Linked DNA regions of Ovis aries. The protein of the gene in region 4 purifies or fractionates together with the protein of the main gene of each other region. This does not show direct contact. Links are inferred from orthologs where the notes say so. Each region holds a gene or a part of one and is shown on either strand. Other genes may lie near its edges.

Evidence for each region.
Region 1: the proteins of NOLC1 (region 4) and NOP58 fractionate together in Homo sapiens (co-fractionation; 3 studies listed by BioGRID, with this or other methods). This does not show direct contact. The link is inferred for Ovis aries from reciprocal best matches to the Homo sapiens genes NOLC1 and NOP58.
Region 2: the proteins of NOLC1 (region 4) and ARRB1 purify together in Homo sapiens (affinity purification with mass spectrometry; 4 studies listed by BioGRID and IntAct, counting the BioPlex papers as one, with this or other methods). This does not show direct contact. The link is inferred for Ovis aries from reciprocal best matches to the Homo sapiens genes NOLC1 and ARRB1.
Region 3: the proteins of NOLC1 (region 4) and NOP56 purify together in Homo sapiens (affinity purification with mass spectrometry; 6 studies listed by BioGRID and IntAct, with this or other methods). This does not show direct contact. The link is inferred for Ovis aries from reciprocal best matches to the Homo sapiens genes NOLC1 and NOP56.
Region 5: the proteins of NOLC1 (region 4) and CSNK2A2 purify together in Homo sapiens (affinity purification with mass spectrometry; 5 studies listed by BioGRID and IntAct, with this or other methods). This does not show direct contact. The link is inferred for Ovis aries from reciprocal best matches to the Homo sapiens genes NOLC1 and CSNK2A2.

Annotation. Positions count from the first base shown.
Region 1 is NC_056055.1:204,588,144-204,591,658, reverse strand, and holds part of NOP58 (nucleolar protein 58), read right to left. Parts: intron 2,778-3,515; coding exon 2,643-2,777; intron 1,626-2,642; coding exon 1,480-1,625; intron 1,427-1,479; exon of another isoform or gene 1,345-1,426; intron 917-1,344; coding exon 790-916; intron 647-789; exon of another isoform or gene 563-646; intron 1-562. UniProt on the Homo sapiens protein: Required for the biogenesis of box C/D snoRNAs such as U3, U8 and U14 snoRNAs. Part of the small subunit (SSU) processome, first precursor of the small eukaryotic ribosomal subunit.
Region 2 is NC_056068.1:53,205,174-53,208,688, reverse strand, and holds part of ARRB1 (beta-arrestin-1), read left to right. Parts: intron 1-105; coding exon 106-157; intron 158-1,460; coding exon 1,461-1,572; 3' UTR 1,573-3,515. UniProt on the Homo sapiens protein: Functions in regulating agonist-mediated G-protein coupled receptor (GPCR) signaling by mediating both receptor desensitization and resensitization processes.
Region 3 is NC_056066.1:52,249,983-52,254,105, reverse strand, and holds the start of NOP56 (nucleolar protein 56), read left to right. Parts: upstream 1-1,320; 5' UTR 1,321-1,350; coding exon 1,351-1,353; intron 1,354-1,507; coding exon 1,508-1,597; intron 1,598-1,957; coding exon 1,958-2,072; intron 2,073-2,446; exon of another isoform or gene 2,447-2,518; intron 2,519-2,671; coding exon 2,672-2,833; intron 2,834-2,986; coding exon 2,987-3,185; intron 3,186-3,272; exon of another isoform or gene 3,273-3,408; intron 3,409-3,524; coding exon 3,525-3,712; intron 3,713-3,793; coding exon 3,794-3,945; intron 3,946-4,123. UniProt on the Homo sapiens protein: Involved in the early to middle stages of 60S ribosomal subunit biogenesis. Required for the biogenesis of box C/D snoRNAs such U3, U8 and U14 snoRNAs. Part of the small subunit (SSU) processome, first precursor of the small eukaryotic ribosomal subunit.
Region 4 is NC_056075.1:22,598,001-22,601,515, reverse strand, and holds part of NOLC1 (nucleolar and coiled-body phosphoprotein 1), read right to left. Parts: coding exon 3,484-3,515; intron 3,388-3,483; coding exon 3,251-3,387; intron 2,853-3,250; coding exon 2,687-2,852; intron 569-2,686; coding exon 447-568; intron 327-446; coding exon 185-326; intron 1-184. UniProt on the Homo sapiens protein: Nucleolar protein that acts as a regulator of RNA polymerase I by connecting RNA polymerase I with enzymes responsible for ribosomal processing and modification.
Region 5 is NC_056067.1:25,628,541-25,632,055, forward strand, and holds part of CSNK2A2 (casein kinase II subunit alpha'), read right to left. Parts: intron 665-3,515; coding exon 563-664; intron 1-562.

The DNA.
Region 1 (3,515 bases), on a different chromosome or scaffold from region 4:
AAAATAAATTCTCAATCAATAGTATATACCTGCACAATCAAGATATAGTGGATTTCATTCCCAATTACCACAATAAAGCAAGTGTTGCAATAAACTAAGTATACGAATTCTTGTTTCCCAGTGCTTATTGAAGTTATATTCTTTTTTTTTTTTTTAAGTTATATTCTTATGGGTAATCTACTTAGTATGAAATAGCATTGTCTGGAAAAACAATGTACATACCTCAATTTATAAATGCTTTACTTTTAAAAACATGTTAAACATCATCTGAACCTTCAGGAAGTTGTAGTAGTAACATCAAAGATCACTGACCAAAGACCAACATTACAAATATAAGAATGGAAAAGTTAGAAATATTGTGGGAATCACCAAAATGCGACAGACTGTGGTGTTGGAAAAATGATGTCAATGGACTTGTTCTACACAGGGCTGACACAAACTATGAATTTAAAAAACGAAGTATCTGTGAAGCACAGTAAAATGAGGTAAACCTGATTTCATCCTCCTGTATTCATCCAATTACTCTAATTAACCAAAACAAACTTCTGACAATGGACCACCAGTGTCTCAGAAGAGGTAGTGACTAAAGATGCCTTCACTATCCGAAAGGAAATCAGGCATACAAATAAAAATCATCATTGAACACTTGGTCCTTAGTCCTCGCACATAAACATTCACTTCTTTTTATTACCCAGATTTATCTTTAAACTCCAGTTTAAAAGAAAATAAGATCCTACCTAGAAAACAACTCTCAATACCCATGTTTACAAATTATATTAAAATCATCACCTGCATGAGCAATAAGTCGTGCTCCAACTAATTCCCCAACCATGACTGTAACATTGGGTGCAATGGCCATCATTCGATTTTGCAGATATTCATAAAGCTGGGTTCTATATTCAGAGATTTCAATCACCTAGTTTAAGAAACAAAATGAGTAAATCATAAATAGTTTAAGAGTAAAAGCAGTGTAAAATTCACATGTCTAAAACATCAGAGCCCCAAATTATCACAGAGCAGTTAGTTGTACAATCCCAGGAAAATTAGCCATCCTTTACCTCAGTTTTCTATAAAACGGCTGTTGTGAAATTTTAATATTTAAAAATTAAGCAATATATGTAAACCTAATACACTGCTTAAAAATGTTAATCAACATTTGTTTAAAAAAACTCTAAAGACTAGACATTTGTGTCATCCTCTGTGATTGTCATATAGCTATCTTCAAATGAGGGGTAAAAATTACAGGCTATACACATTCAGATACTGCTAACAATAGAAATTAACTAGACAGTACTCCTTTAACCTCATTTTAAGATATTTTTCTCCCTGCAAGTTTGTAAGTCAAGACGGCATCAGATGAGGTAGTGACTGAACACCCTCATATTTATCAGGTGAACAATACATTTAAAAATCATCACTGCCATCAGAAATTACAGAGCTGGTACCACCACCACGAATTTCCCTATGTGCATAGTGTACCTGAGTGCAAAGGTGCAGAATGTTGCAAATATCTTCTTCCGAAACTTCGGTTCCCATAGATATCTCTGCTGCCGCTTTCACTTCAGCTTCAACCTCCTCTGGCAGTAATTCAGAAAGTTGAGCTGAGGCATAATTCTTCCTGTCGCCTATGGAATGTTTGCAAAGGATGAGGGAGAATCACTCTTCAGTAAATTATATAAAATCCACCAAACAGTCAAAAGAAAAAGTAGAGATAAGCCAATGAAAGGGATGCCTGAACAAAACAAAAAGTAAACAAGTTTGACCAAGTAACTTTACTCATGTAAGGGCTTGATTTTAGAGATTAACTCATTTTATGAACAGTCCTCAGGTTCCTCTACTATATTATTATTATAGTAATAGTATACAATTTAATATTGAGTATAGATAGCAATACTATTTTTAATATTAACCACTATTAATGTATTTCAGGATACTTCCCAGTCACACAGTTGTCCTTATTAACGGCAACTTCAGTGAGACACAATCATTGTAAGAAGCCAGTTCAGGGGAGTGGGGAGCAGATAAATTGGGACCAACATATACACACTATGATATATAAAACAGATTACTAGTAAGAACCTGCTACATAGGACAGAAAACTACTCAATACTCTGGAATGACCTACATGGAAAAAGTCTAAAGAGTGGAGATGTATACACAACTGATTCACTGTGCTGTACAGAAAAAAGTAACACAATGAGTGTGTGTGCTTAGTCACATCCTTTGTGACCCTATGGACTATAGCCTGCCAGGCTCCTCTGTCCATGGAATTTCCAAGGCAAGAATACTAGATTGGGTTGCCATTTCCTCCTCCAGGGTATCTTCCTTGCCCAGGGATTCAAACCAGGTCTCCTGTGTTTCTTGCACTGGCAGACAGATTCTTCACCACTAAGCCACCTATACTCCAAATTTTTTTTAAAAAAAGAAGCCCAAGGAAAACCAAATTAGAGAACGATGTCCTCTACTGTACAGGCCACTGAAATAAAATTCTGTTTCTGAAATCTAGCAGATGTTAATATGGATATACTCCTCAAACACACAAGACTAAAAACTCTGGGAAGAGAATAAAAAAACCAGTAACTCATGTTTTAGGATTTAAATAAATCACTATTTTCAATACCTTAAAGGATAAAGTTACTCACCAACTTTCTGTAAACACTTGCAGTATGTCAAATTATCCGAAATAATTTTTCCTAACTCAGGGAAATGCCAGCCATACCATTCTCTACACCGCATAATGTAGTTGTTTAGTTCTTTATCTAAGTCATCTAACAGGGCTGCAGCAGATTAAAACAAAAAAGAAAACAAGAACTTAAAAGGGTTTTAAAAAACACTTGTGATGAAATAGTCCATCATCCCAAACAGAAACTCTGTACCCATGAAATAATTACTCCTCATTCTCACCACTCCAGCCTCTCTTTTATCCCCTCTATGAATTTGCCTATTCTAAGTACCTCATAAGGGGAATCACACTGTATTTGTCTTCTTGAAAGTAGTCTATTTCACCATAGCACAGTGTTTTCAAAATTCATCTATGTTGTACCATATATTAGAACTTGTAAGGATAAATAATATTCCATTGTATACCACTTTGTTTATCCCTTCATCTGTTAATAGGTATCTGGATTGTTTCTGCCCTTTAGCTGAATCATGATGCTATGAACATAGCTGCTTAAGTAACTGACTAACTCCTTTCAGTTTGGGGGGGCATACACACCTAGAAATACAATTGCTATTTAAAGAAATGTTTAAAACTGGAAACTGTTGAGACTTTGATGTCCAAAAATCACCGAATGATTTATTACATACATAAAGCAAAAAAAACCCCACACCCGTATCTTAAGGTTTTATCATTTTTCATGGAAAAAGATCAATCAGCTTACATTAATAGTGTAGCGTAATTCCTATTATCCCCAAGTAGTCAAATTATAATTAGTTTTCCAATTTTTGATTCTGCATTTCCCAATTTACTTACTAAACTTCTAGCTGGTCTTTTTCTTCCTCAACAATCATAA
Region 2 (3,515 bases), on a different chromosome or scaffold from region 4:
CCCTCCCCTACCTTAGCTTAGTTGTCCCGGGGTGAGGACCTGTGCCCACCTGCCCCCTCACTCACTCGCCAGTAACCCGTGGGCGGTCATCTGCCCTGTGTTTAGTTCCAGAGCACGAGACGCCAGTAGATACCAATCTCATAGAACTTGACACCAAGTAAGCAGAACCCTGCCTGCAGACATGGGCGGGGTGGGCCTTGGGAGGTGGGCGGGGCTGCCTGGTTATATGCATTTATGCTAATTAACCCCGAGGAGCAGTGGTCTAACCCATCTGCTGAGAGCTGCCTCTGCTCGCCTCTTCAGCAACCCGCTTGCCTGCATGTGACTTGAAGGACCCTCGGTGCCTGTTCCTCTTCCTCCTGCCTTGGTGGGGTCTGTCTTCCTCCCTCGTCCTTGCACGTCCGTCAGTCCGTCAGTCCATTCGTCCATCCACAGCACCTGCTCGGCTGTCACAGGGCTGGTTTGTGGCCCTGGGCTGGGACCCTCCTACTTGGCTGGTGTCCAGCCAGTGGAATCAGGCTGTGGGGTGGGGAAGGTTCTGGGGATCTTCTTGTTTCTGACTCGTGAGGACCAGTATGGATGGCCCTGTGGTCAAAGGCTGTCACCTCACAGGACAGTGGCCAGAGGGGAGGACCTGGGCAAACATGAACCACCTCCAGGTCCAAGCAGCTTTCTCGCTCCAGCTCCAAATCTATGCTTCCTTTGTCCTCTAGGAGATGTGTCGGGTCTTAAGTCAGCCCATGGAGGATACCCCGTGCAGTTGGCTGAATTCTGTGGGGCTGGGGCCTGGAGAGTGGGCCCATGTGGACATGTTTTATTAGTAGAAGGGAGCTCACTGTTCTTAGAGGCAGCCCCTCTGGAACCCCTCTCAGGCACCCTCTTTCTCCACTCATATTTTTTCTGCTCCCCACCCTTATTGGGCTTTGCCTAGCCCCCACCCCAGCCCCCACAGACCCTGTGTATCCAATATCCCTCAGGGTAGAATGTGAGCTGACATTTCCTTGGAGAAAGGGCCTTTGGGGTTTTCTCAGAAAACAGGAATGCTTCCTGAGGGTAGTTCTTGGGTGGGGGCGTGTTCTTGGGGGACTCAGAATATGCTGTGAAACTGCTGTCGGCCTGGCCTCTTTGTGGAAATAAGTTCCTCCTCTGGCCCTAACCCTGCCTCACTCCCCGCCCCCACCCACAATTTGATGTGTGCCTGAACCCCAGCTTCTCAAGAGCTGGGTCGATTTCCAGCCCTTAGCAAACTCAGGCCTCCCTCTGGTATTTCTGCAACTGGCTGGTCCCACTGTCATTGATGGGCATCCAGATGTGCTGGCCTGGCAGGCCTTTCTATCCAAGACCAGTCCCAGAGGCCGGCCTCTGGGTCCTGCTGGGCTGTGCAGGCCCTCCGACCCCTCTGAGTAAACCTCCTCTCCCTGCCCTGCAAACACGCCTGTTTTCCTTGTCTTTCCCACCAGCGATGACGACATTGTGTTTGAGGACTTTGCCCGCCAGAGACTAAAAGGCATGAAGGATGACAAGGAGGAAGAGGAGGATGGTACCGGCTCTCCGCGGCTCAACGACAGATAGACTGGAGCCGCCCTCCCTCCGGGCAGCTCCAGGTCCACTCTCATGCGCTAGGATGCTTGTTCGTCTTCTTCCTGTCCTGACTCCCCCTCCCCTTTGTTCTTCCAGTTTCTACCAGGGGGCCCAGCGGTCTTCCAGGTCACGATGGGAACCCCTGGCCTCAGGATTGGCCCCCATCACCATGCCAACTGGGCCACAGGCAACACCCTCACCCTCTCACCGCATCACTTCTCCATCCCTCCTCTTTTCCTGTTGACCCCTAGACAGGCCAGCACGGCTCTGGCCTTAGAATTTGACTTGGGATGGGGAGCAGAAAGGGGAAGATGGGGCACAAGGGCTTGGCGGGGTGGGGATGGAGGCTCAAGACACGTGAGAGGATGAGGCCACTGTCCCGGGTGATGAATACAGTTCTGGCAGCTAAAACATGACCGCTTTGAAGGCCACCCTCCTCTGGTTGGGAGGGGACAGGCCCATGGATAGATTTTCCACACAGTTTTGCTCGAAGTTCGGACCCACCAAACACCTGTCTTCTTCCTCCCTCGTCCCTGCCCCCGTCCCTCTGTGACTGACAGTGACCTTGGTGAAGGTTTGTAGACCCCAGGAATGGAGCAAAGCAGTTGGGCTGACTTTCTTACCTGCAGTTACCTAGTCTAAGGCAAGTCGTGTGAAGTAGCCCGAGTCTATGTCAGTATCATCAGGATGTAATATCCTAGCTGCCTGTATCTTGCCTGTGTGTCATCCGCAGATATGCACAGAGTGCGACAGAGAGAAGGGAGGGGCCTTCGGAAAGCACCAAGGTCTTGAGGAGGTGTCCTGAAGGGTGACTATGAGATGGGGGTGGGGTGAGAAGATGAGAGTCTGCCCAGCTCCCTTCCTTAAGAGGGATCAGCGATCTGGTGGGAAGCAAGACTGAAGGGCCAGAACGATTGAGGCCACCAATGTCTTCCTGCCCTTGCAGGTCTCCAGGGCTGGACTGGAAGAGAGCCCCTGAGACCACCGTGCCCACAGTCAAAGGGGGTCCTTCCATAGAAGGTAGCAAGGTCCACTGAGTTGTCCTTACCTAAAAGGAAGAGGGACTCTTTTGTTTCCTTGGGGAGCTGATGACCACCCCCCGCCAATACACACACACTCACACACACACACACACACAGTGATTCCCACTGTCATGGGTGTACAGTACCCATGGGCTGATGTTGGTGTGATTAGGACATGGGGCATACTTCCAGGGCAACGGGGCAGGCAGACGATGAGGCAGAAAGTGTTAAAAGTTAACTGTTTTTCTCTGACCTTTGATGCTCACTGCTGTGTGACTTTGGGCAAGTTCCTTTCCGTCTCTGGGCCTCAGTACTTCACCTAGAAAACCAAGGGGTTCGAGCAGATGATCACAAGGGGCCCTCCCAGCTCTGCCTCCAAGAATTTGTGAGCATTAGAGTTTCTGGTCTGGTGGGTGGAGCCAGAACCACTGATTCTGGTCTGTCTGCCACCAGTGAGGATCACTGAACCCGAGGGGTGGTGGGGCAATAGACAGCACCTAGCACCACCACCCTACACCCACTCCAGGCCGAAGAAGGGCCCTTCTAAGGTCCCTAGACTGGGCCAGGGTGAAGGGTTGCCTGATGTCAAGCTGTGGCTGTAGTTAGCATGAGCCGCTTGGCCCTAGGGACCAAGTATTACAGAAGGTATTGTATTTGCTTGTATTTGCTGAGGCGTGGCAGGGGGAGGGGAGGAGAGCTTGCGATAGACACGGTACTACTTCACACCCTCTTTGGATGTCCTGAAGTTTGCCTCATATCCAAGCAGATGTATTGATTAGCAGGGCAAGGGGATCTCTTCCTCCTTTCTGTCTGTGTCCCATACTTGTGAAAAGGCAGATGGCCAAGTTTTATTATATAAGCTGGATCTCAGCTCTTCAGTTCAGCCCCTCCTGGGATGGACTTTGCAACCCT
Region 3 (4,123 bases), on a different chromosome or scaffold from region 4:
GTAATCAAGTAAATCAGTCATAGCATTAATATGTTCCAATATATTTTGGAAACTTCTATTTAATGTGGCATTTATAATGCTTTAACATTCTCATGTAACAGATTAATTTTGCAATTCCATTTTAAAACATGAGATGGAGTAACTGATCCAATTCCATTTTAAAAACATGAGATGGAGTCTGAACTCACGATTGTAAGTGGATACAGGCAACAAAATGTAAGCACACATGTAAGCAATATTAAGACTATGATATTAAGATTTATGATTAAAATTTAATCTACTAGATTTTAAGAGCTCAGTACTTGAATCTTGTCAAATAACTGAACTGCTTTAGAAAATACCTTGAATTTATAAATGCACGCTAGTTGTGGGAATTTTAAGTTGTAAAAACCCCCTTAAGATGATTTATTTTTAATTTACCAACATATACCATTTTGGGGTAACCAGGTTTTGGACTTGTAACTCAGACATTATTAAAGCAAAAGTATCAATAATTTCAAAACAGTCTCCTGAGTGCCTTAAAGCTGCCCAGAGGACACGACAGCAGCTCCCGTTCACTTGGAACTAACAGGGTACTAAGTTGGGCAGTGCACCAGGGCGAGTGACACTTGGCCCCGCAGAAGGAAGGTTCTGCCGAAGCAGGGAACAATAAACCGAACCGGAAAAAGATGGGAATCATCTTTCTTTCCTACTTCAGCGCCTGAAGCCTTTATTTTTAAAAATAAAACTGAAAAGCACCAAGTCAGCAATGGGAATCACGACTTCAAAGTCCGCGCCAGCGCCTCAGGCCCAGCTTCCGCCCCAGTGATGAGGAAAGCCAGCGCAGAACCCTGGCCCGGCAGAGGGTAGACCCCTATTGCTGGGTGGGGACGCAGCGGGTCCTGGTATCCTGGGGACGTGGGGCGGGGCCTAGGTCCTGAGATGCCTAGCGCTGCGGAGACTGGGCTCCGCAACAGTTTCTGCTCTGAAGTGTGGCCGCGATCAGTGCGGGGGCCTCCAGCCCGGATCCCACCAAGCTCTGCTGCCTGTAATTTACAGGATGAAAACAAGAGTGAATGAACCAGAAAAGCGCGCCTTTCCAAACCGTTTTGCAGCCTGCAGGGTCCGTTCCGGCCGGCGCGTACCAAGCAACCACGCCGCAGCCGAGACCGGAAAAGGCCGACTTGCAGGCGCTCGCGCCCCTGTCCCCGCCTGCGGGCCGTACCACCCCGGGCGACCCCTCCCGAGGAAAGGGATGGTACCGTCCCCGGCCTCCGATTGGCCGACGAGGCGGGGGCGTGGCCTCTGGAGCCCGGTTCCGCGCGCCAGAGCGCGCTCGCCACAGTGCGAGCCGGACTAGGAGCGAGCGCCATGGTGAGGAGTGGTTGTAGGTTGCGGGCGAGGTGGAGGCCGTGGTTTAGGCCTGGGTTTGGGCTGGAGCGTGGGCCGGGACCAGGGCCTTCCCCGGGGACGGGGCTGGGCAAACGTGAGATAAGCGCTTACTCTGGTGTCCCGGCTCCCTTTTCAGGTGCTGCTGCACGTGCTTTTCGAGCACGCGGTCGGCTACGCGCTTCTGGCGCTGAAGGAGGTGGAGGAGATCAGCCTTCTGCTGCCGCAGGTGGGTGGACATGGTGGGCTAGCCAGCGGCTCCGCAGCCCCTCGGGCCGCGCGGGCCCCAGCATGCACCGCGTGCTCCCACGTGGCCGGCCGCGCGTTGGGAGGTGCGCTGGGCCTGACAGTTCCAAAGTAGGTGGTCCTTACTTGCATTCGTGATTAGAATTGCGTTAGAAGCATTAAAAAGTAAGCTTCCCAGATTCCACCCCATACCAATGAAGCGGAACCGGGATTTGGGACCCATGATCTGTCCATTTTTAGTGTTCGGTTGGTCCTAAGAGTGCTTTCAGGTCCAAGAGCTGCTGCTGCTTTACTGCCCCCTAGAGGCAAGAGGGAGGGAAGAATATCACCTTTCTCCCCCCAGGTGGAGGAGTGCGTGCTGAACCTTGGCAAATTCCACAACATCGTTCGTCTTGTGGCCTTTTGTCCCTTTTCCTCGTCCCAAGTTGCCTTGGAAAATGCCAACGCTGTGTCTGAAGGTGAGTTGGCCACTAAATATTGTAGAGAGATGAGCCTAGATGTAGTTCTTGCTACTGTTAACCCTTTAACAACCTAGGATGTACGCTTTATTTCTTGTAGGCACTGTAGTAATGATTTTTAAGTGAAATCAGGCTGGGGTTGAGGGGCTGGTATAATGGTAGATCCAATCAAATGTGGTTCTCTGCTAGTTTGTTCAGTTGATTGCAAAGGGCAATTTTGATGCCAAAAGCCTGGAGGAAGTTTTAGTCCCAGAAGGCAGATCTGGTACTAAATACATCCATTGTGCTCCAGGGTGTGTTTCAAGCTTTCAATAATATATTTTACACTTAGGTTATGGGGCCTGAGTTCTGTTCTCCTATGGTTGATGCTGGCTTTGCAGTGATGACTTGAGTCTGTCAATCCCCTGAGTGAGTGTAATCACTGATGTCTCCATGTCTCTGAGCAAAGCCTCTGAGTAAGAGGAGGGCTCTAGGCACAGGCCATCTTAGCATACTCTGTAAGATCAGTCTCACTGATCAGCAGTTGAGGTGACAAGATCTCTTTTTACGATTTAAACGTCCTTCAGCATGTTAGTGGGAGCTCTGTTCTTTGCCTTGAGGTGTTGTTCATGAGGACCTCCGCCTGCTCTTGGAGACTCACCTGCCACCCAAAAAGAAGAAAGTACTTCTGGGGGTTGGGGACCCCAAGATAGGTGCGGCTATACAAGAGGAGTTAGGGTACAACTGCCAGACTGGAGGTGTCATAGCCGAGATCCTTCGAGGTGAGACAGTTTTGAAATCTGGAGCTGGTGAGGGGGCGGTGGTTCTGGAAACCTAGCGGGTTGCTTTTTAGAAGCCCTCCTGCTTGTCTGGTACCTATGCATGCAGGTACTAGCTCAGAGCCTTTCCTTACTCACAGTCTCACCCTCTTCTAGGAGTTCGTCTGCACTTCCACAACCTGGTGAAAGGTCTGACCGATTTGTCTGCTTGTAAAGCCCAACTGGGGCTGGGACACAGCTATTCTCGTGCCAAAGTTAAGTTTAATGTGAACCGAGTGGACAATATGATTATCCAGTCCATTAGCCTCCTGGACCAGCTGGATAAGGATATCAATACCTTCTCCATGCGTGTCAGGTAAAGTGCAGGGGTGACCTGAGAAACAAGGTCTTGGGTCTGTGGGTTAGCTAATTTTGAATCCTGAAATCAGGACTGGTAGAGCTGGGCCTCCTGATGCTTACCACAGGCTGTGTTCTTACACTGACTGTATAGAAAGAGGAGGCAGAGTAAACCCACCCCATATACACCTCAGCCCAGGCAGGCCCTTTACCTGGTCTGTATTGTGAATGGGGAGACATGGAGGTTTTGGGATCTGATTTGTTCCGATTTCCTCCAGGGATAAAGTAGATGTGGAGAGGGCTGAGTGTAGCTTTGAAGCATGGCAACTGGGCCAGGGAGTGATTGTGTTCTTTGCAGGGAGTGGTATGGGTATCACTTTCCTGAGCTGGTAAAGATCATCAATGACAATGCTACGTACTGCCGCCTTGCTCAGTTCATTGGAAACCGGAAGGAGCTTAATGAAGAAAAGTTGGAGAAGCTGGAGGAGCTGACAATGGATGCAGCCAAGGCTAAGGCTATTTTGGATGCCTCGCGGTCTTCCATGGGTCAGTACAGAGGCTAGCAGTGAAAATAAGGTATGGGGCTCTGAATATTGGGCTTCTGCATTCATACTTGATGTTCTTTAGGCATGGACATATCAGCCATTGACTTGATAAACATCGAGAGCTTCTCCAGTCGTGTGGTGTCTTTGTCAGAGTACCGCCAAAGTCTGCACACTTACCTGCGATCCAAGATGAGCCAAGTAGCGCCCAGCCTGTCTGCCCTAATTGGGGAAGCGGTGCGTCATGGGAAACCAAAAGATGGGGGATTATGGGATTACCATCTATAGTCATCATATTGTTGTTGTATTTCATGACCTATCATATCTTCCCCGGTTGAACTTGATGGGGAGGAGGTTGAAGCACGTTATGCAGTTGGTACATTGGCAATTCCAGCTTCTTTGACTCCTTGACTCT
Region 4 (3,515 bases):
GAGGATGGGCTCAGATTAGTGACTCACTCCTAACAGACTAGGGCAGGGACGATGGCATGCCATTTGGCTTTCTCCTTTCTCTGGGACAGGCCAGCTGTCAGGCCAAGGTCCACGTGGTGACTGCAGAGGTCCTCCTGCCTTTGGGCCCTCGTCAGTGGTAGCTTGACTCCCCGTGTCCAGTCACCTGGTTTTTTCTTCATGGGCTTTTTCTTCTGCTCCTCTTCCTCCTCCTCACTGGAGGAGTCCTCACTGCTGGAACTCTTTTGGGCAGGTGCAGCAACCATTTTCACTGGGGCCTTAGCCACAACTTGCTTTTTAGGTATGGTCTGCATCACACAGAGAAAATCAATTACCACAGGAAAATATTGACCCAACCAATCCTGCCAGGAAATGGAGGACTTCCACCCTCTTGTCCCCTCTTCCCTGGTAGAAATTAAGGCCTATACCTTCTTAGAGATGGCTACTGCCTTTTCCTCCTCTGAGTCATCATCACTGCTGCTGCTGCTGCCGCTGCTGCTACTAGCTGCTTTGCCATTGGCGACTTTAGGTGCTGGCCGAGGTGATGTACCTAAGAAAATAGAAATAACATGAGTATAAAGACAGTTTTCGGACCCGCCACCTTCAGCAGCACTGCCGCCAAGATGCAGAATTTCATGAAGATCCTGAGGGGAATGACCATCACTCTTGAAGTCAAACCCTCAGCTACAACAGAAAATGAAGGGCCAAAATCCAGGATAAAAAAGAATTCTTCCTGAGTAGTAAAGATTGATCTTTGCTGGCAAGCAACTAGAACACAGATGTACTTTGACTATAAAATTCAAAAGGAGTGTACATTTCACCTTACTTTTGGGACTTCATGATGGTACTAAGAAAGGAAGAATTCTTACATAAGTCCCAAGAACAAGCATAAGAGAAAGAAGACTAAGCTAGCTGGCTGTCTGAAATACCATAAGGTGGGTGTGAATACCCTTCAGATGATAGCTGGGCTCAAGTTTTTACAGCCAACCACTCCGACATACATATGTATTGTTTCAACAAACTGTAAGACAGGTATGTTGAAAACAGACATGAGCTGGATTTCCCTGGTGGTCCAGTGGCTAAGAATACACCTGCCAGCCTTCCTTCATGGCTCTGTGGTAAAAAAACAAACAAACAAACAAAAACCCACCTACCAATGCAGGAGACACAGGTTCAATCCCTGTTCTGGGAAGATCTCATATCCCCTGGGACAACTAATCCCGGGAGCCACAACTAAAGCCCCAACACTCTACAGCCTGTGCTCTGCAACAAGAGAAGCCACCAGCGTAAGAAGCCTGCACACCACCACAAGGGAGCAGCCTCCATTCACCTCAACTGCAGAAAGCCCATACACAGCAAGGACCTAGTACACCCGGAAATAAAGAAAGAAAAATATTTTTTAAACAGACATGAACTGGGACTTCCCTGGTGGTCCAGTGGCTAAGATTCCATGCTCCCAATGTAGGGAGCTGGGGGTCTGATCCCTGGTCAGGGAACTAGATCCCACATGCACCAACTAAGATATGGTGCAGCCAAATAAATAAATATTTCTTAAAGCCTCCTCCTATTAGCTTGGTACTTAGGAGTCTGTTGTTATGCCCAAGTCTCAAAATCTCCCAATGACCACCAGGGAGCTGATATCTGATGGAAAAGCAAGAGAGTTTTTATTACCAAGCTCGAGCTGGGGCTCCCACCGTTACCGATGCAGTGGCTTAGGAGAGGAGCCCTGAACTCTGGGTTATATTGCTTATATAGGGTATTCTCGCGCGAAAAATTCGAAAAACGGGAGTTTCCAGGTTGGGAGACCTCTAATTGGTTACCTTCTGTGGAAGGGTTAGGTGTTGGGTTCTGATTGGTTCCCATTTCCACGGTAAATCATTACTTCCAAGGTAAATCACAAATGTAACTCATTACTTCCAAGGTAAATCACAAATTCTTGAACTTAAAGTCAGGAGGTCTAATCCAAGGGCTGACTGGCTCGCGCACAGTGGGGCAAGTTTAGGCAATATCCAAAGTCTAAGTCTGTTTGCCCGGTACCTTTGCAAAATGGAGCTCTTTTACAAGATAGAGTAGCTTAGGCTCTTCACTGTCAATTCTCTTGCCTTTGCAGCAAGCATAAAGGAGAAGGCTGTGGTTTACCGTGGTATTATCAAAGGATAAATTTCCTGCCCAAGTTCAGAAATAAACCTGTCTTCCAAAAAATTTTATGACGCAAATCATTTGAATATGCCCTCTGAAGTCTTTTAAACATGTTTTCCCTCATTGCCCACTATTTCTATAGTTGAAAAAAGTGAAAGTGTTAGTTGCTGCTCAGACTTGTCTGACTCTTTGCAACCCCATGGACTATAGCCCGCCAGGCTCCTCTATCCATGGGGATTCTTCAGGCAAGTCTACTGGAGGCAGTAGTTATTCTCTTCTCCAGTGGATCTTCATGACCCAGGTATCGAACCTGGGTCTCCTGTATTGCAGGCAGATTCTTTACTGTCTGGGCCACCAGGCAAGCCATTTCTGTAGTTACTAGTCCCTAATTTAAAAAAAAAAGACACCAGTCCATACCCCTAGTTCAATAACCAGTGCCATTTCATCCCTGTGGTGAATGAGGAATTTTCACACCAGTCCCCAGAGCAACCTGGTCCCCAGCCTAGCCTCTTGGGAACAAAAACGATACCTGGTTTGGCTGGGGCTTTAGCCTGAGTTTTCACTGCCACAGGTGTTGTCTTTGGCTTCTGGTTCTTTGGTGCCTCGTCCTCTGAGCTTGAGTCAGAATCGGAATCAGAGCTCTCGGCCTTCTTAGGAGGAGCTTTGACTGTCTTGGCCTGTGGCTTAACTCCCTTCTGTAAGAAAAGCCAGGGGAATCAGCAAGAGTTTTAGGGCACCCAAAGGACATCTTAAGGTACAAAAGCAAGCTCCCTTTTTTAGGCCTTGTTCCTGACATTCCCTGTTTAGAGCTCCCTGCACCTGTCCACAAAACATCTTTTACTCTTGGAGTCCTTGACGGTGTCCCAGAGAAACCCAATACTGTCAGGGTTGCAGAATGGACTGAATTTCCTCTACATTCAGGGTTCAACTTTCACCCTACAAAATCCTTTCCAAACCTCATATTTTTACAACCTCTCTGAAAGACCTCGTAATAATCTGTTGTTTATAACCAGCACCACCAGGCTAAAAGCCAAGATTTTGGACTTCTTCTTTCCAATCCCTTAAGCAATTCCTTTCCTCCCCAAAGCTGCACCTCAACAGGCTTTTTCTTTCTGTCTTCTTCCTCCTCATCATCACTGGATTCTTCACTGCTGCTGCTGCTGCTCTCGGATGCTTTGACTGCAGCCTTTCCAGGATGCTGAAGCAGACTGGCCTGCTTGGCAGGTACAGCTGAACAAAAATACGGGTCTCAGTAAGAATCAGCCATTTAGTACTGGGAGACTACAAATCCTCTTCCTGGAACCACAACTCCCTGCTAGGCCTTACCAGCTTTCTTAGCTGGAGGTGCCTGGTTTTCC
Region 5 (3,515 bases), on a different chromosome or scaffold from region 4:
TTAATAAAAATATTTAAACTGCATCTGCATATACCATGTGAGCCCTAATGGTGGATGCGGAATTAAAGACCAGTATGAGAAACAGCAAGATAGTGACCTCAAGGGGTCTGTGATCTGTTCAGTTCTCCACAGGAAGTGTCCACATGGCCACACTTCCTATCTCCTTCTGTAAACCCAGATTTTCAAATGTCAGGCTTACTTAAGTGAGGTAAAATAATGTTAATTGGCAGTAATAAGCTTTCTAAGTTGGGAGAAAAGCAGGAGCATAAGGGAGCTTTGAAGCAAACGTTTGTGGACTGAATCAAAATAATGAGGCTATAAAACTGGGAAAGGGATTTTTTTTCTACAAATACTTTAAGGTTCCATAAAAGTGGTAGTAGGTAGTTTATCACTGGGCCACCATGATTTTTTCTGGTTTTCAAATCCTTTAGTAGTAAAGACAAACACAATCATTCCCAGCATATTATAACAATGTTTCCCATTATTTTCAGGTTCTCTGTCTCTCATACACACACACACACACCACCCCCCCACCTCTCCCCTTCAACAGCTAGGCACCTACCACAGGGTCCTTCACAGTGTCAATCAGCTTAATGATATTTGTTCCACCACGAAGGTTCTCCAGAATCTTAACCTCTCGTTTTATCTTCTTTTTCTTCACTGGCTTAAATATACAAGAGTAATGAGAAGTAAGACTCCTTTTGAAGTTAACAAATAAAACTTTAAAACACTGTTTCTATCAAATGGCTATTGCACTATCTTGCACAAGGGCATGTCTAAACTAGAAGAGATGGGGGAATAAAATGAGGTTTAAGAGGAGCCTGCCCATAAGAATTTTTAAGATTACATGAAATAATTCACAGACTCATACAGCTTACATGTCAAATCTTTTAAGTAGTTACATTTAGGACACATGAAATTTTGAATGCCTATGTCATACTTTAAAAATAAAATGTTTACTAGTTAACTGCCCAATGGAAAGCGTTATAGCTCTTAACAGCTGTCTATCATGCACTCATAAATGGAAAAACGGAAACAAACTGCTAAGACACCTGCTCTTCCAACGGGTCGCATGTAATTTTGTCTTCTAGGAGTGAAGACCAGTTCACTGACATCAAGTTACAAACTTGTTTCCCAGCTGCTGGCTCCCGTTTCCTGTCACCACTCCCATTTCCTTAATATCTAGACTCTGAAATCAGCTCAGAGCCAGTAAAACTTCCCAACAGACCCCATTCCTAAAGGAAGAGATGATGGATCAGCAAAGGAAAAGACCAATCTCTGACACAGCAGTGACTGAAAACCCCTGCTACCCACTAACCTTTCAATCTGTTGGATAGGCAAACCGGAAACCTTAATCAAAAATGTCAGCATTATGCATGTTATTTCTTGTCATGAATAGGCTAAAGAGTCTGAAGAATAATTAAAGCAGCTCTAGAAAAAAAAGCATTATCACAATCAATTATGCTTTATAAAGTACTTAAACAGCAACTAGTATACAGGAAGCAGTCAATAGATGTTATGTCCATTATTTTCATGTTTCATTCTCACAAAATTCCTATGTAGAAGACTCAGCCAAGTTGAGCTATTTGCCCAAGATCATACAGCTAGCAGTCAAGAGCAGGGGCAGGATTCAAATCTGCAGGCCTCAATCTTCGCCACCGTGCCTTCATTCCCCAAGTGTGGCCATGGGAGGACTGTAACTTAGGAAAAGGAGTACTGCCCCAGCAAGACACTGTTACAGCAGCGCAGGCAAAGACAAAGACGGCCCCGTGGGTTAGCCGTGATGGAAAAGATGGAAAAGACCGTGTCCACGTGGTGGCGGTGGCAGTGGGGTGGGTGAAACACAAGATACACACAAGCCAGAGGAACCAGCATCTCTTGCTGGTCACCAAGCTACAGCTTTGAACACAAACCAGAGAGGAACTGTAAAACACAGAGCACCTGCATCACCTGTAGGAGGGCGCTCAACTGAGAGGCTGGAGTCTGGCTGCATTCTTCCAAGCCAGCTGCCACAATCGCGCCCATTCCACTGTCAGCATTCTCAGTAGAACAGATCTGGCTACTGTGGTTCTTTCTCCATTCCACTTAGGAATTTTACTACTTCCCTTTTTCATAATTACAGAACTCAATACTTTGGAAAAGTGAGGCACTCAAACATCAAGTACAAACTTGGTCAGAAAACAGCCAGAGAAGGACATACTACAAAATAAGTAGTCTACAAGCTTTAAAAATGTTTATGTCATGAAACACACAGACTAAACAAGTACTCCAGATTAAAAAAAATATGACAACTGAATGTAACGCATGATCTGCGATTTTCCTTTGCTATAAAGAACATTACAAGGACAACTGGCAAATGAGAACAGAGGTTGTAGATGCATCAATATTAACTTTTGATTTCTGATCATGGCATTGAGTTATGTAAGAAATTGCTTTTGTTTTTAGGAAATATAGGAAATTAGGGATATTCTTTCAAGCACTTAAGTAAAAGAAATATATATCAGCACATACATACATATCTGTATGTATAACAAGTGTGTATATATAAATAAAAGAGAGAAAAGGATATTTAAGAAATCTGCATGAAAGATACATGGGAATTTTTGCAATTTTTCAGTAGTCTGAAATTTTGTCAAAAAGTTAAAAGAAAAATCAAATGCAAACAGTATATTCAACATAAGAAAATTCTGGGTTTTTTTGTGGCCACACTGTGAGGCATATGAGACCTTAGTTCCCTGACCAGGGATCAAACCTGTCCCTTGCCACAATGGAAGCTCAGCATCCTAACCACTGAATTACCAGGGAAGCCCCAACAAATTCTAGAGTTGTCATCCACTCCTGGAAAGTAGTTACAAATCTGTGGGAGTGGCAACAGAGGGAGAAAAAAAACAATGGCCAGAAGCCTGTGTTCACCAAAAGCCCCCTCTCCCTCTAAAAGTGAACAAGTACAAGGTAACCATTATATAAGCTGCTCCTATGACAACGTCCCATATAGAGCCTTGCCTTGTTCTGTTATTCAGCAACGTATCAGGCAGTTCCTGGATAATCCAGTTCAGATGAATGTATCTTTCACTATGTCTTAAGGTAACTCACAGAACAAGTGAAGCACATTTGACTGCCCAATTGTCACCTGTCAGACTGGGGACAGCAGGACAAATCTAAAGTGGCAAAATGGAGCCACACTGCAGCTGGAGTCCTCACATACTGAGAAAAGACCGACAGACTATAAGAGGAGTGATGAACGGTGCAGGAGGCTCACTCCAGAGCAGGGGCACCAAGTCTCTACAGGAGCCAGGCTTCAGGCAACTCTCTCTAGCCTCAAGCTTACTCCTCTGAACCTGAGAGACCTCCAGAAGCCGAAAAACCAATGAATGCCCAGACATTTATGACCGCAATGATTTACATTCTATAAGTAGAATTCAAGGGAAAAAGTTAGGATTTATAAGGGAGGATCCTTGGCATCTGAAGAAAGATAGACCATGAATTTTTACAGAAATAAGGCTGCTCTAATCCTA